2 linked regions of the Astyanax mexicanus genome follow. The protein of the gene in region 2 binds, or shares a complex with, the protein of the main gene of each other region. Links are inferred from orthologs where the notes say so. Each region holds a gene or a part of one and is shown on either strand. Other genes may lie near its edges.

Region 1 (8,268 bases), on a different chromosome or scaffold from region 2:
AGACAATGCATAAAGACAGGACAGTGCAGTACCGATACGGTATAATAAAGAGTATAGTGGGGATAAGGTGCAGAGATGTGTGACATACTGTAACATATAGAACATATATAATCACAGCAGTTACTGAGGTAGAGAGTTTATAGTTTTTAAGAGTGCAGCAAATAAAGTCATGTCAGCCTCTGTGTGCTGACTGGGTGTGTGTGTGGGTGAAGTTCAGTTCTTGTGAGTGTAAAGGGGGGAGGGGTGTACAGTTTAGTTTTGTGTGAGTGTGTTGGGTGAGTGGTGGGTGGGGTGGGGGTTCAGTTCTGTCTCTGTGCGTTGAGAAGTCTGACTGCCTGGTGGATGAAGCTGTTGCAGAGTCTAGTAGTGGAGGCTCGGATGCTCCTGTATCTTCTGCCGGACGGCATCAGACCGAAGAGTCCGTGTGAGGGATGGGTGGGGTCGTCCACAATGCTGGTGGCTTTGCGGATGCAGCGTGTGGTGTAGATCTCAGTGATGGAGGGAAGAGAGACTCCGATGATTTTCTCAGCTGTCCGCACTATCCGCTGTAGGGTCTTGCGGTCTGAGGTGTTGCAATTCCCAAACCAGACGGTAATGCAGGTGCTCAGGATGCTTTCTACAGTCCCTCTGTAGAACATGGTGAGGATGGGGGGTGGGAGATGTGCTTTCCTCAGTCTCCGCAGGAAGTAGAGGCGCTGCTGGGCTTTCTTGGTTATGGAGCTGGTGTTGAGGGACCAGGTGAGGTTCTCTGCAATGTGAACACCGAGGAACTTGGTGTTATCCACAATTTCCACAGCAGAGCCGTTGATGTTCAGCGGGTGGTGGACACCTGGAGCTCTCCTGAAGTCAACAACCATCTCCTTGGTTTTATCCACGTTAAGAGATAGGTTGTTGGTTCTGTTATCTGTTATTCTAGTTATCTGCTTATTAAACACTTACTTATAAAACACACACCACAGGACAACCACTTCACCCAGACTCTCACTAATAACATAATGATTGCTAATCTACTGGCTCTCTTGCTCTTCTTGTGACTGTATTATGCTAAACCAACCAATGATAATGTATCTAAATGTCGGTCACATTCAAAGTTACATTTGTTTAACTATCTATTCTATAGAAGATTCTTACTTTGCAAAATAGAAAAGTAAATAATCTTGCAGTACCTCTGCAGCCCACTGGGGAGCCCCATCTTCAAAAGGTTAAAAAACATTGTTCTTATCTATAGATCAATGAGTTTTTCTTTCTTTCTGACTATTGAATTCTGGATGGATTTTAAATATATTAATATTATTTTTTTGCAGTACACTTTCTTAAATGCCTATGAATTCTCTGCCGCTTCTTATGTTCTTTTGTTTTCCAACATTAAAAAATATAAGGGTTGTAACTATTCCAAATTAAACTTTCAAATGTTTTATCTTTTTTCAACTCTACTTACACATGTATTTAACTATTCAAAACATACACTGGTCAAACACAGGCAGCTTTACTTAATTTTTTACAAGGGTTCTAAATCGAAGATGGTAATTTTTTTCTTAGTCCTGTTACCAAAACTCGTGTGACAAAGCTTTTTTCTCAGGAAAGTCTTTATTATAAAGAAATGTTTAATGAATGGTTGTATTTTTCTAAAAGATGCAGGCCGACATTTTTAAGAAGAAAAAAACTAAAATTGTTAAAATTTATTATCATGCAATTGAATTAAACAAATGGATACGTAATGAACCAAACAGAATTGGAAAAAAGTGCTTTACACTAACTAATATTCACATTCAATTAATAAACCAGGGGACAATTCTCATTCCTGTTACTGGAACTCACATTACTGGCACTCTCTCCTGTTACTGTAACTCACTCCTGTTACTGACACTCATTTCTGTAACTGGCACTCAGTCCTGTTATTGGAACCCACTCCTTTTACTCTTTATGATATAAATAACAGGACTGAATGTAACAGGACTGTGTTTTTAGCATAGAATTAGTAAAAACATGAAAAATAGCTAAATGGTGGCTATACTAAAAAGATGAGGAAACTGGACACATTCTAATGATTTTCCCAAAATGTGTATTTTAAAAATAAACAAATAAGATCTGAGAATTAATTTAGGTAACAGGAATGAGTGCTGAGATTGACCTCATCAGTACTATAAGATCAAATATACAGAAAAACAAATGAGGGAACTTAATTTTAGTCTTCCTGGGATCTTCAGAAGAACCAGCTGATGTCACTTCCTGTTTTAGATGTGCCAAATTTTTAGATGGGGTAATGTGTTATGGTAAAATGACTGAGTGATAGGGACACAACTAAAATGTTACATTACAATTACAGTTTAAAATTTTAATTTAATGTTAATTTAAAATTTAATGATAAAGTTTATAGTTGGAGAGTGGGGACTGGTAACAAATGCTATTTTTTCAGTGTTCTAAGAAGTTTTTATTACGATATGTTTTAATAACATTATACTTTTGCAATTAGGTCAATGTACAAGACACTATGCTTAATAATAAAATGTCTTTTATAGTTATTTTGTTTGCATATTTATACGTGTAATTTCCTGGGGACAGAAATGGCACTGATTTAGTGGAATATGCCATAAATAACCTGACTAAGCCTTTATTAAAACTCAGTAAATAAATGCTGCAATATGTTGCATGCTGTCATTATTTTAAAATAATATAATAAAGTTATTAATGTGGTTTCAGATAGGAAACGATGGGCATAATCACTGATTGCAAAAAGAAATACACATAAACAAAACAGTGGATAATAAATGTGAAAAGTTATTACAGTGATAGAGACTTTGTGTCTTTGGAGAACCTTAATTTTTCTTTAAATTAGTGTTTCTAAAACCTGGTCCAGGTAATAATAGGCTGTTATACAGCTGATTGGTTGGAACAGTTCAGTTGGGAGCAGAAAAGCTTTAAAAAGGCAAAGTTGGGAAACACAGGTCCACAGCACCACTAGAGGGAGCTGCTCACTCTTCTGTGTGTGTCACATGTGCCTTCAAGTACAACAACAACAACAACAACAACAACAACAACAACAATAATAATAATAATAATAATAATAATAATAATAATAATAATAATATATTTTATTTAAATGCTTTTTTAATACTGCTTTAAATTACAAAATAGCTACTAGCAGTACATCTTCACTATTTACATTTTCACATCTTCTGTTGCAAAAATAAGACAAACCTTGTTTTGGCACAAAAAACACTATAGTGCTATTCTATTCTATTGTATTCTATTCTATTCTATTCTATTCTAATAACAGTATTTGCAATAATAATGATAACAGTTTTGGCGTAACAAACAAAGCTCTATTCTATTATATTTTATTCTAATAACAATAGTTGTAATTAGAATAACTTTGTTTGGGCATAGCAACAAATTAAGCTATATTCTATTCTATTCTGATAACAATAAATGTAATTGTAATAAAATAATAAAAACCTTGTTTTGGCATAACAATCAATAACGGAATATTCTTTTCTGTTCTATTCTATTCTGTTCTATTCTATTCTATTCACAGTAATAGTAATAATGATAACCTTGTTTTTCAAACAATAAATCTCTATTCTATTCACAATAATAGTGATAATAATATTTTGTTGAATTTATTTTTAACTGAACAATCGTACAATATAACAGTACTAAATTCTTGTTATTGTTTTTTATTTAGTTAGTTAGTTTCTTATTTAATATTATTATTTAATATAATAATAATAATAATAATAATAATAATTATTATTATTATTATTATTATTATTATTATTATTGTTATTATATAAACACACACACATATACAAGTGCATTTAAAAAAAATAGAATATCACTGAAAAGTTACTTTATTTCAGTAATTCAGTTTAAAATGTGAAACTCATATATTATATAGATGTATTACACACAGAGTGATCTATTATGAGTGATTGATTATGGCTTACAGCTATTGAAAATCCAAAAATCAGTGTCTCAGAAAATCTGAATATTATACAAGACCAACTAGTACTTTTGGCAGAGTGGGCAGTGTGCCAAATCCTGCTGGAAAATGAAATCTTCACAAAAGTTGACAGCAGAGGGAAGCATGAAGTGCTGTAAGATTTTCCGGGAAAACACTGCACTGACTGTGGAATTGATATAACACTAATTCTTGGGTTTTCATTGGCTGAAAACCATAATCATCAACAATAAATTAAATAGACGCTTAAAATATACCACTCTGTGTGTAATACATCTATATGATATGAGTTTCACATTTTGAACTGAATTCAAGTTTAAGTTTAGGATTATGATATTGGTTTTCATCACTGTTTTTTTGTTGTTGTTGATAGCAGTGTGTAAATCGAGTAGCCACTCCCATTGAACTCAATCATTTGTGCTGGGATTTCTTATCTGGTGCAAATCAGTCAAAATTGTTCCTGATGTTCCTGTAGTGAGATTACATCACTCCACCTCTCCAGGTAAAGCTAATCCTGTCTGAATAGGGCTATGTGGAGAAAATAAAAGCAAAAGGAAGGGAGTGAGTGAATGGAGGTGGAGGAGGGGAATCCCTACTAGGAGACTGATATATACCTGACCATCACTCAGCTTGCTCCAGTTCTTGACTGCACTGATACTTAACAGTCTGCTGACCATTTTATGTATGCAATGAAGGGCCATCTGTGGAGGAAGAGCCAATCAGCACACAGTAAGTATGTTTGATTTGTTTTATATATATAGATTTTCTGGTACCACTTAAATGAGACTACCTTTGTAAAGGATTAATAAATGGTTTACAATTAGTTTATTAATGGTTACTAATTAGGTTGTAAATGCCTTAAAATCATTAATAATTAGTTATGTGGCTGTGGGTTCACTATTTGGCAAACAACAAGTCTATGTACATTTCTACGTATGTGTTATAACTGATTATTAATGATTTTTAAGGCTTTTACAACCTAATTAGTAACCATTAATAAACTAAACCATTTATAAACCCTTTATAAAGGTAGTCTTATTTTAAAGTGGTACCGATTTTCTACCTATATGTTCTGTATGTTTTAAGGGATGTGGCATGGAATGCAGTGTTGGGAAACACCCTGGATACCAGTGTTTAAACTGAGGCCACTGAGGCCAGCTGCACTTTCTCATGAGAGAGAGAGAGAGAGAGAGAGAGAGAGGAGGCAGAGCAAGACAGTTAGAGGGAAAGAAGGAGAGAGAAGAGAAGAGAGAGTGCTCCCCATTTCCATATAAGGTACGAGCAAAAGTAGGAAAGTGGGGAGAACAACAATAATGCCGGCAGGATATTCTCACAGGATATGTATCAGGCTGGGAGTGAAAGAGAGAGAGAGGGAGGGAGGGACAGAGGGAGATGGAGAAGAGAGAGAGAGAGGGGAGGAGGAGAAGAGGGTAGGCTGTATTGTATCAGTAGAGCTGGACGGGGCTGCTGGCAGCATGACTGACTCTCTGTGCAGGAGATAGCAGGACTGGCACTTTCACTAGTACGGTAAGACTCACTCCTCTCTCACTGCTGTATCAGGATATGACTCTCTCTCTCTCTCTCTCTCTCTCTTTGAGAGACAGCCTATGAATTCTTACTCCTTTTCAAGAGAAGCGCTACAGACAGTGGTGGACTGACACAGGGGCAAAAAACAAAAAAGGGCACCTACTGCATGACATGGGACCCTGTCAACAAGAAGGGTGTTTCTTTTTTGCCACTTTAGAGAGCACTATAGTGATGTTTTTTTAACAATGTATATTTTTTTTTTACAATGGGCGCACTGGGAGGCAGTTGGGGTGGCTTAAGGGGGTTCTTTAGTAAAGCGATATGCCAGAGTTGCTTTGACAGTTCATTATGATTTAGGAAACCCTTTTTTATACAGAGTATGGCATTAATTAGCTCTTGGAACAGCCTTAAAATGCTTGTTGATGTTGGAAAAATTATTTTAAGATTCTGGTCCATGCTGACATAATTGCATCACAAAATTCTCTAGATTTTTCAAAGTTTACTTTCATGCTGTAAATCTTCCATTCTGACAAATCCCAACGCTTCTCTATTGGATTCAGTTCTGGCACTGGGAAGGCCACTGAAATAACTTTGGCTTGGCTTTGACATGGTGCATTATTATGTTGAAATGTTGAAAGTAAAATGAAAGTAGATTAGAAGGGTAAATTGCAATCATAAAGGGATGGATGCACTCCTCAAGGCAGGTTGGATCCATTGATTCAAGCAGTTGCCACCAAACTTCAACCGGCCATTTGTTTGCATCAAGATTCATCAAGATTCATCAAATCAGACGAAGTTTCTCCAGTATTCACCTGTTCAGTTCTGGTAATCTTGTGCCCACTGCAACCTCAGCTTTCTGTTCTTGAGTGAAAGAAGTGGAAGTTGACATGGTTTTGTGCACATGTAGCTTAACAGCCCTAAGGTTCAACATGTAATGAGAGACTTTTCTGGTCCCCTCAATTGTAAAGAGTGGTTAAATAAGTTACTGTACCCTTTCTATAAACCCAAACCTTTAAAATTAAGAGACCACTTAAGTTTCTGAATCAGTTTCTCTGATTTTGCTATTTATAGGTTTATGTTTGAGTAAAATAAACATTTCTGTTTTATTCTATAAACTACAGACAACATTTCTCCCAAACTCCAAATAAAAATATTGTCATTTAGAGCATTTATTTGCAGAAAATTAGAAATGGCTGAAACAACAAAAAAGATGCAGAGCTTTCAGACCTCAAATGTAAAAAAAACAAGTTCATATTCAATATTTGGTGGAATAACCCTGATTTTTAATTACAGTTTTCATGCATCTTGGCATGTTCTCCTCCACCAGTCTTACACACTGCTTTTGGATAACTTTATGCCACTCCTAGTCTAAACATTCAAGCAGTTCAGTTTGGTTTGATGGCTTGTGATCATCCATCTTCCTCTTGATTATATTCCAGAGGTTTTCATTTTGGTAAAATCAAGTGGTCTATTTTCCTTTTTTTTCAGAGCTGTAGATCCAAAATGATGACTTTTTAACTTTGAATAAAAGTGTTTGAATGGATGTAAAATAAGCTTTTTTCTAATTTTAGAGCATTTCTATTGGTCAATTCTTTCACAATTATTTACAGAATGTACAGAGCATCTACGATGTTAAAGCAATGGAGAAAACCAAAAACTGTCAAAGTGGAGATTTACTCAACAGTTATGCAGCAGCAGTTTAATGCATGCTGATACTGTAGTATTTAGTAACTACTATGCAGTATCTGCTATGAAACTAATATTGAATTTGTTGAACTGACTCTATTTAAGGAGGAAGACATACAAACCTGTGTTTATATTACAGTTTAAAAATGATACTATATAGCGCTCAAAATGGCTTTTAACAAATCATTTTCTGCAAAGTGTGCAAAATGAGTAATGGGACACCGGCTGAGTGACGCAGTTTTGTCTGAGGATGTGAAGAAACAGTTCAGAGAAATGAAATCAAAGAGTCACATAAGCCTCTCCTTCTGGGGTCACTTTGTGGCCACTTGCCTTTTATTATCCTCTTTATTATCCTACCTTCACCCTGTTCTTCAATGGTCAGGATCACCCAGAGGACCTCCAAAAAGGTAGAGCAGGTATTATTTGGGTGGTGGGTCATTCTCAGCACTGCAGTGACACTGACACGGTGGTGGTGGTGTGTTAGTATTGTGTGTTGTGATGGTAAGAGTAGGTCAGACGCAGTCACGCAGCAGTGCTGCTTGAGTTTTTGAACTCTATAAGACATTCTTACTAGTTGGACCACCTTGTAGATTCAAAGCCAAAAGTTGGCGTTGATCATTCTTTAGTCCTTTATCAGTGGTCACTAGATGCTACCCACAGAAGAGTTCTTCTCACTGTTGGCTGGAAATTCCTGGTTGGGGGTCTGGTCTGGTTGGTGGACTATTTTAAGCCCATCAGAGAAACTGACGTGTTTAAAAACTCCAGCAGCACTGCACAATACACACTACTAACACAACACCACCATCACCATGTGAGTGCTATACTGCAGAATAACCCACCACACAAATAACACCTGCTCTATTGTGGTCCTATGGGGTCCTGACCATTAAAGAAAAGGGTGAAAAGAGGTTACTAAAGTATGCAGAGAAACAGATACAGGACTACAGTCTATACTTACAGAACTACAAAGTGCTTGATATGACTGTGTGTTTATAAATTGGCTATGAAGGCTATGAAGGCTATGAAGGCTATGACTAATCCTTCAGATTTTTGCTATTGTCTGACACGTGGGTGCTTCCTCTGACGTCATACAG
Region 2 (8,288 bases):
TTAATGTTTATGATACAGACTATCCTATCGCTTTTAGCTCATTTGCGGTAGTGCTGAACGCTGTGTGTGTTTCTGTGGTGATTTTCAGTGTTAGTTAGGTGAAGCCGCTCCACTAGCTTTAGCCTCCTGCTAAACATCCAGACACTAGTAGCGCAGCTACTGCCTCTGCGATCAGAAAACAGACGAGTAAACGCAGGATAAGTGTTTACACGCAGACGCTCCTTTTCCCGGTATTATAACTCACAGTCTTGGGGACCCCGTTCTCCCCCAGCTGCAGCGTATCCTCCATTTCTCCGTGTTTACAGGCTTTCCTGTATCCCTGTATCTCACGAGCTTCCCGTTACTCCGTACTTTCCACTTCCTGGACGCTGGACGCGTCACACAGCAACTGTAACCAAGGCGATGGAAACGGCGCGCTGTTTTGGATGAGGTGCTTGAGTAACATTCAATGTTTTCCTTAATTTCTTTATTTAATGTATTTTATACATTGTAGATTATTATTTACACCATATAAACAATTAAGAGACAAATATAGAATGAATAGCCAAATACTAAAAACACTTTTTTGGTATTTTGGACAAAATCATTTTTATTTATCATATTCATCTTATTTTTTACAGATATATATTGTGGACACCCCATGACATTAATGTTTTTATTTTTTTAAGAGACACACATGGAATGAGTCAAATACTGAAAACACCTTTTTGCTTTTTTTCAATCAATTAATTTTGGTATGCATATTTATCATTTTTATATGCATCCCTATTTCTAAAAAGAAAAAAAAAACACATTGGATGAGAAGAGGCATGTCTAAATGTACTTGTATGACTGGTGTATACAGTGTGTGTAGAGGGTTTAGATTATTGAGTGTTTTTACTTTTATATGTAAAAACATCCAATAATAAGCAGGGTTTTTTTTATTATTTTTGCCACTTTTCACAGTTGTATACATTGAATAGCATCAATGTATTTTTCTCTGAAAAAATAACAATTTAAATATATTTGTTAAACACTGATTTTTTAACATGGATACATATCAACAACGCACATTATTTATAGTTTGATATAAAATATATATTTTTACCAAAAAAAACCCCAAACTTTTTTGCTATTTTCAACTAAATAATTTTAGTGTGCAAAATATTTATACGTATCATATTTATTTGCATCCCTAATTCTAATGCTAGAATATATATATATATATATATATATATATATATATATATATATATATATATATATATATATATATATATATATATATATATATAGTGGACACTATGAAATTAATGTTTTTTAAGCACTTTAGGCTGTATTCACTGAACACTCACACAGTGCTTTTGTCACCGAGCCATCACAAATCATGTCAGCAATGTGCCAAAGTCTATAAGAACTTTTCTTGCCAGTTATTCCAACAAAAACAGAATAAACTACATAGATTTCAGATGAAACATTGAATCAGCAGGTGTTTTAATATTTTTGTTCCTATAGTTTACAGTACATGGTATGTTAGTTATATACAGTAGTTAGTTATACAGACTATGATACACTTTGCATACATTAATAAATATCAATCAATGTTTTGTTACAAGACTAATTTACTAATTTCAAGATCTCTATCCAACATATTGTTAGATGTCCACCACACACGTAAAGGCATTTCATGCCATGCCCCTGGGCTCCATGTCCTCGTGGTACGAGTATTCAATGAGAACTAATTTAGGTTCATGGCATCCGATGGAAGTACAGTGTTTATTTTTGCTAGTCAATGGATAGTTGGTCGAGTTCCAGCAATCTGGGGTCTTTTATTGTTTACTAGAATATGGCCGGTGGATGTTGATTTAAGGAACTTGGACCTCACCATATAAAGAAATGTTGATTTGCAGCCTCCTACAGCACGTCAACACTAGTCAGGCCTACTTCATGCTAGCTGCAGCATGTAATGAGCTATGTCTATCAGTGCTGTTCATTGTTATTAGGAGAGAATAAAGTGAAAAAGATAGAAAAAAAGGTGTTCATAGTTCACACATTACAGCCAGAGCCCAAAATAGTCACATTGTCACTGCCACAGAAAGGTACGTTGGCAATGTATAAATTTGAAAAAATTAATGATACACTTAATGTGCTTAAAGTGATGCTGGTAGATAGACGTCTCATGTACAGTATTCTCACAAATATGGTAAATGGCACACCTAATCCAGGTACTCAATCAGGTAATTACCAAGCACTCCCTAAGTTGAAGATGGTGTATTACAAGAGGAAACTACTAAAATGTACAGGGCAGGGAGTGATACACAGGCTTCATGTGTAGGCCAAGATTCATGGTTTATACACTGATCAGCCATAACATTAGTACATCACTGACAGGTGGCAGCTGTAAGAGCACCAGGTCATTAATGAGAGATTTCAGCAAGCTGCCACTGTTGGACCCCACTGCTCCTCAGGCATGTGGCATGTGTGCTCTCACAATATCACAGTGTGTATTTGGTCACTATATGAGCATGTTCACTACATTAAAGGCAGAGGCTACATTCTGTCTGTGTCCAACACAAGTATGGTGAATATGGATAGCTTGTCTTATATTAGGGGATCTTCATATATTCTGTGATGTGATGTCTTAAACACAGGAAAATGGACAAGCATAAGAACCTGAGTTATTTTGACCAAGAAAATTGTGATGGCTAGATAAGTGACTGGGTCAGAACATTTCCAAAACATCAATAATGCTCCTGGTGATCAGTACTTTCCAAAAGGAAGGACAGTTGGTGAACTGGCTGACAGGGGTCATGGGCACCCAGAGGTGGCTCTAGGATCAGAGTTGTGAGGGTGCTTGGCCAGACTCCTCCCCCTTTATAAAAAACAAAACAACAACAAAAAAACTGTGTACTTTTAATGATATTCAAATATAGTCTTAGGATTGTTTTCACTGGAGGGACGGGTGTGTCATATCAGTCGAATTAAAAAAATGAAGATTCAAATCAGACACACAAAATGCTTTGCACATTTTAAACATCTTTTCAGCAGAAAGAGGATAATAAAGCATTTTTACATATTTGTAATAAAACAATCCACTCATTGCTGCTTTCTTCATTATGTGGTTTAACTAGCTAAAAGCAGGAAGCTAATCACCACCATTCTGGATTTTTAGTGCGTCAGTACCAACATAATTTGTCCTTACCCTATCACTCGAACCTGCTCTTTTCTCTAAAAAACAATCCAATATCCATTCCTGACTTGCTGGCCATGCACCCACATACAGTGCGAGTTAGGAGTGGGCATCATTTATCTGCTATTCTTCTAAAACAGACAGAAAGACAGATATACTCATTTTTTACTCACAGTGGAAAATGGCTGATGGACAGCCTGCATCATTAGCTGCATATCGTCAGGAGAGACTGCTGTGTTTTTATTCTTAAAATTCTGTTTAATTATATATTTTCTAAGCTTTTACATGTTTGCTCAGCTTACCAGAGTCAACCCTCCATACAAAAAACACCCCATTTTTTTGTGATTCACATGATCCATTAAGGCCCCACCTCACATCATATAGAACTCTTTCAAGGATTCAAGGAGACTTTTTTGTTTTGCATCACATGTGGTACATGAGGTGGAACGAAATTGTAATCTTACAATCCAGTTACACCCAAGAGCAACTGTTATGTAGATCAAATAAAATAAAATAATAATAATATAAAACATAATATGATTCAAATAGATAACAGGATAGAACACATGATATAAAAAGGAGAGTAGGGAAGTAGGGAAACAGCAGCAACATGTCAGTGTTGTTTTAAATATGTAATTAATAAATTCAAAGGCTCATGAGGATCTGTAGTTGTGACTTGAAATATACCCACTGAATATTACACAGGTGGTTCTAATAATGTTATGGCTGATCAGTGTATACTAAAATACATTATTATCAGATATGAAGAAAAGCTCTATGCTGCATGTTCTCTTAGATATTATCCACTAGGGGGAGCGCATGCATGCAAAAAAGGTGGTTGAGTGAGTATGCGTGCGTGCATGTGCGCTTATGTTTGTGTGCGTGCACGCGCACGAGACAGATAGAAAAAGAGGGAGAGAGAAAAAGAGAGAGAGAGAGAGAGAAAGAGACATAAAGTGGTAAATAATAAATATATAGGCTATTTCTTATCTATTTCTTCAGAATAACTCTGTTGGAAGCTGTTTTCTGACTGAACTCCTGCAGTAATAAACGTGCAGTTGCCTCTTCTCACTCAGGCAATGGGTGAGAAGCTGCACCCCTTTTGCCCCTCCTCCCGTCCCGGGACGTCACGGGCCCCGTCCCTATAAAGGTCCGCGAGAGCCCCAGAGCTCATCTGAAGCGAGGAGTCCAGCACAGCAGCTGCGTGAAGGGAATAATATGCTGGTGGGACAGCAAGGCTTTGAGAAACTGAGCTCTTTAGGCTAGCACTCTTCCATGCTTTAGCTATGTTATGGAATTCTATTGGGATGCATTTTTGGAGTGCAGTGCATGGCTGCTCTGCTTAAGTTTACAGGATGGGGCAAACTCCCTCACCACTTGAACTCCAAGCAACTGAGAGGATAATCTGGAATTTACTCTCATAGATTTTTTTTTGAGTCTGTATATTATTTTATTTTAGATTTTTTCCCCTAGTATTTAAGTTCTTTTTTTCTATTTAGTCTCAACTAGCTCCAGCTCACCTTACGTGAACTGGACCTCTTGGTAACTTTGGTACTTAGACTCACAGTGAGGACACTCATAGACATACACACACACACACACATATAAACACACTTACACACTCACTCATACACACACACACACACACACACACACATCACCATGCAGCTGGGCAGAGCACTTTTGTTTTTCCTCCTCCTCCTAAACAGCATGACCATGATTTTCTCGCTGTCTACTTGCACCACTGTGGACATTGACCACATCAAGAAGAAGCGGGTGGAGGCCATCCGGGGACAGATTTTGAGCAAATTGAGACTGACGAGTCCACCGCAAGCCCTGGGTCCCAATCAGGTCCCGTACCAGGTGTTGGCCCTCTATAACAGCACCAGAGAGCTGATAGAGGAGCTGGGCAGGGACCGGCAGCAAAGCTGTGGCCAGGATAACACTGAGACCGAGTACTATGCCAAAGAGATTCACAAGTTCAACATGATCCTAGGAACACCTGAAAACAGTAAGTAGGCCTGAATAGCACTGCATTCAACAGCTTCATTGTTCTCGCATTTTATAAAAAGAGATTGTATTACCCTGTTCAGTTTCTGTATAGGTCAGTAATGGTCTGTGATCTGATCTTGCTTAGCAATACCTAGAGGAATATTGTATTTTATGCCTAGAACACATAGGCCATAAATTGTGAGCTTAATGTTTGTCACTGGACGGATCATCGCAGCTGGAAACCCATCACCCCATCACCCCAGCTCACAGAGCAATACTGTAATATAGACTGTGGTATTTTGCCACAGAAACCAATATGCTCTAAGGAATGGTCTTCAAATAATGCTTCAGTCTGGTATGTCTGGAAAAATCATTTGTAGTCTGTTTCTACTTTAATAATAAAACCTTTAGGATGTTCCTCTGACTGTTAAGTGAAGACCTTTAAAGTTCAGGAGGCAGCCAATCATTTGCTGTAAAAACAGCAAACAGAGGTCATGTCTTGTTTAGATCAATTCAGTTAATTTCACATGATCACCTGAAACTCAATGGAAAATACCTCAGTGGATTTTTCCATGAATTACCATGAAAGTTCCCACAGGCCCTAGAATTCCGGGGTCATCTCTTGATCTAATTGACCGTGTGTCGCTAAATGGAGTAGAAATGTTTGAGATAAGTTGAGATAAAGTTAGAAAAGCCTGAAAGCTCAGGGCATTCTGATGTCTGATGACTCTCTCCACTGGTTCACTCCATCTTTAGAAGAGCATTAAGGCGCTGAGCTCTGTACTGTCCTCAGCTGCGAGTACTGGAGCAGTATGGGAGCTCGCCAGTGCTTTCCCACTGAGCTAACGACCAGACTGTCTCAGGCAGCCTCACAGCCTTTCCAATGGAACCATTTTAACGAGGCTTGCTTATACTGTCCACGGAACAAGTCGTCAGTGATATTTTCCCCCCACTGTCAGACGCCATAACTGCGGTTTATGTACATAATTGTCCGTTTACTCTTTGTCTGGATCTGTGTGTGTGTGTTAATATCGCTAATGATTTATAGCAGCCTTTTTTTCAACGTGCTTCACAGGGTTGTAGTTTAAAGTGATGATTCTGAGTGGAGCCCATGTATTCTCTTGTCATCTTGTCATCTACATCCTGTCTTGATTGATAATAGACCTTTAACGACGGCCAGCTAGCCCATCTATGGTTGCGTCCTCCATCGCAGTGAAGTCTCAGGAGAAAGTGAGAAAATTTTGGAAAGTGAGAAGAATTGGACTTGGGCCTGTTCAGTGATGGAAGCAGGTCATTGCATCATGCATCAAGTGTTTTTTCAAATCAACAGGTGTTTTATGCTACAGAGACACTGAACAGACCGTCCTCTGGCTCCCAAACAAGCTCCAGTGCCAAATGTGGATTTCGGGTCAACTAAAGTGCTTCTGACACTTAAAATATACACTCCCTCAGCTACTTTAGCTGCCATACTGAAAAATATAGCTTATGGCTGCCTGGCCATTTCAAGACCACTGGCCTGTTGGGGTGATCTTCAGGTTATCAAGCGACTACCCACTGACCCTTCCTTTTCCAACAGATGCACACACAAGTCACTGGAGGAAAGGAACAGAGTCAGGCCCTCATCAGTAATAGTTTCCAGAGTTGAATAATTATGTTTATTTCTAATTTCCATTGTGCAATTTGACCATTAAGCAGGCCTGTTTGGCTACACTGTGGTTGATGTCACTATGGAGAAACAGGAATGTACTGTACAGTATATTCCCAGTCCGCTCAGACCAATTGAACTATGAACTTAGGCTTGGATTGCGTTTAGGATATATATGGAATCACTGCCAAAACGTCATGGGAAAGGAACTAGTATAGTGTCCAATGACTTTTGCCAAGTCCCATTGGAAACTAAAGAATGTGCAACTGACCTATGAGATGGGTGTGTGGGGCATCCTGCATTGAATATGGATGGGATTTCCGATTTATCCGATTTATCTGATTGATCTGATTTATGACAGAGTCTCTTGCTTGTCTGTTTGCATGGACATTTCTAGGCAGATTCCACTGGACACCATTATTACCACCCACTGCTCTGCTCTAAAGCCTTCTTCAGTGACGCATTTTTGGTACACATGTATGTGCTACTGTGGATCAAGGAATGTTAAATGCTCACACAACTTCGGAAAACTTTGAAAAACTTTGGAAAACTCTGCAAAAGAAATGTCACATCCATCTGGTATCTACCATCAGGTCTTGCTCTAACTCTGATATGTGCCCACTCTGATATGAACACTGTGCTGTTGGTCTGTGTTCAAATCTCACTCACAAGATAACACCTCACATATAGCACGTATATCTATATAGTTGTGTCAGTTGTTCTCAAGCCATTCCCAGAGGTAACACTTTATGTTAGGGTTAGTTTTCCTTCTTATAACTTTTGATAAATCAGTGTATAAAAAGGAGTAGTGTATCTTAAAAAAATAAGATATTTTAGAGACTTTAGAGACTTCACACTTCTCAAGATTCCAGCTCCTTTGTTTGTCTCCTAAAATAGCCAAGCAGAGTAATATCACTTGAAACATTTTTGAGATACCAGGTTTGTTTGCCCATGGAGTCTGGCCTGAATCGGGTGGGAAATATGGAGCGTTAGAGCTTTCTCAGTTCCACACCTGCATTCCATATGCTCTGCTGTGCTAGCATTGCTTCAGCGAGCTGACTTTTGACCTCTGTGGTACACATGTCAACAGAGACCAAGCCAGACGTTGTGACAGAATGCTGCTGGTATACTAACTACCAGTATACAAAGAGAAGTCAAGAAGTTCCTAGGCTTGTGTTCAGACTGCAGGCAAATCTGGATTTGTTTCACAAATCAGACACTATTATTATTAATTTTTTTAAAGTGATCAGATCATATGTTCTATGTCCAGACACCACATTGTATTATGAGTGTGGGAAACTATCCATATATTTTTGATATCCTCTTGAGACCCAGATTTTAGCATGATAAGCATTTTAATCTGGGAACTAACAAATTTGGGACAAAAAAAGATAAAGGTAGTAAGGTAATCATTTTTTTTTATAACAGTAGAGCATGTTTGTAACCTGACCCTGACATTAGACCCTGACATTAGAATCTAAC

Evidence for each region.
Region 1: the proteins of tgfb3 (region 2) and lrrc32 are in contact, whole or in part, in a cryo-EM structure (PDB 8VSB), measured with the Homo sapiens proteins. The link is inferred for Astyanax mexicanus from reciprocal best matches to the Homo sapiens genes TGFB3 and LRRC32. Residues at the interface, in NP_001316868.1 of Homo sapiens: Leu24, Ser25, Thr26, Cys27, Thr28, Leu30, Pro347, Pro349, Tyr350, Leu351, Arg352, Thr357, His358, Val361, Leu364, Leu368, Ser375; in NP_001122394.1 of Homo sapiens: Ala110, Ser135, Tyr137, Ser160, Val184, Met186, Asp187, Ile188, Asp190, Phe193, Leu202, Leu204, Arg206, Asn207, Ser208, Thr210, Cys211, Ile212, Ser213, Asp214, Phe215, Ser216, Leu217, Cys227, Asn228, Ser229, Lys254.

What each region holds. Positions count from the first base shown.
Region 1 is NC_064427.1:35,631,557-35,639,824, forward strand, and holds the start of lrrc32 (transforming growth factor beta activator LRRC32), read left to right. Parts: upstream 1-4,618; 5' UTR 4,619-4,641; coding exon 4,642-4,694; intron 4,695-5,377; exon of another isoform or gene 5,378-5,488; intron 5,489-8,268.
Region 2 is NC_064421.1:14,050,257-14,058,544, forward strand, and holds the start of tgfb3 (transforming growth factor beta-3 proprotein), read left to right. Parts: upstream 1-4,324; 5' UTR 4,325-4,831; coding exon 4,832-5,180; intron 5,181-8,288. Other genes in the region: intraflagellar transport protein 43 homolog, read right to left, coding at 245-289. UniProt on the Homo sapiens protein: Transforming growth factor beta-3 proprotein: Precursor of the Latency-associated peptide (LAP) and Transforming growth factor beta-3 (TGF-beta-3) chains, which constitute the regulatory and active subunit of TGF-beta-3, respectively.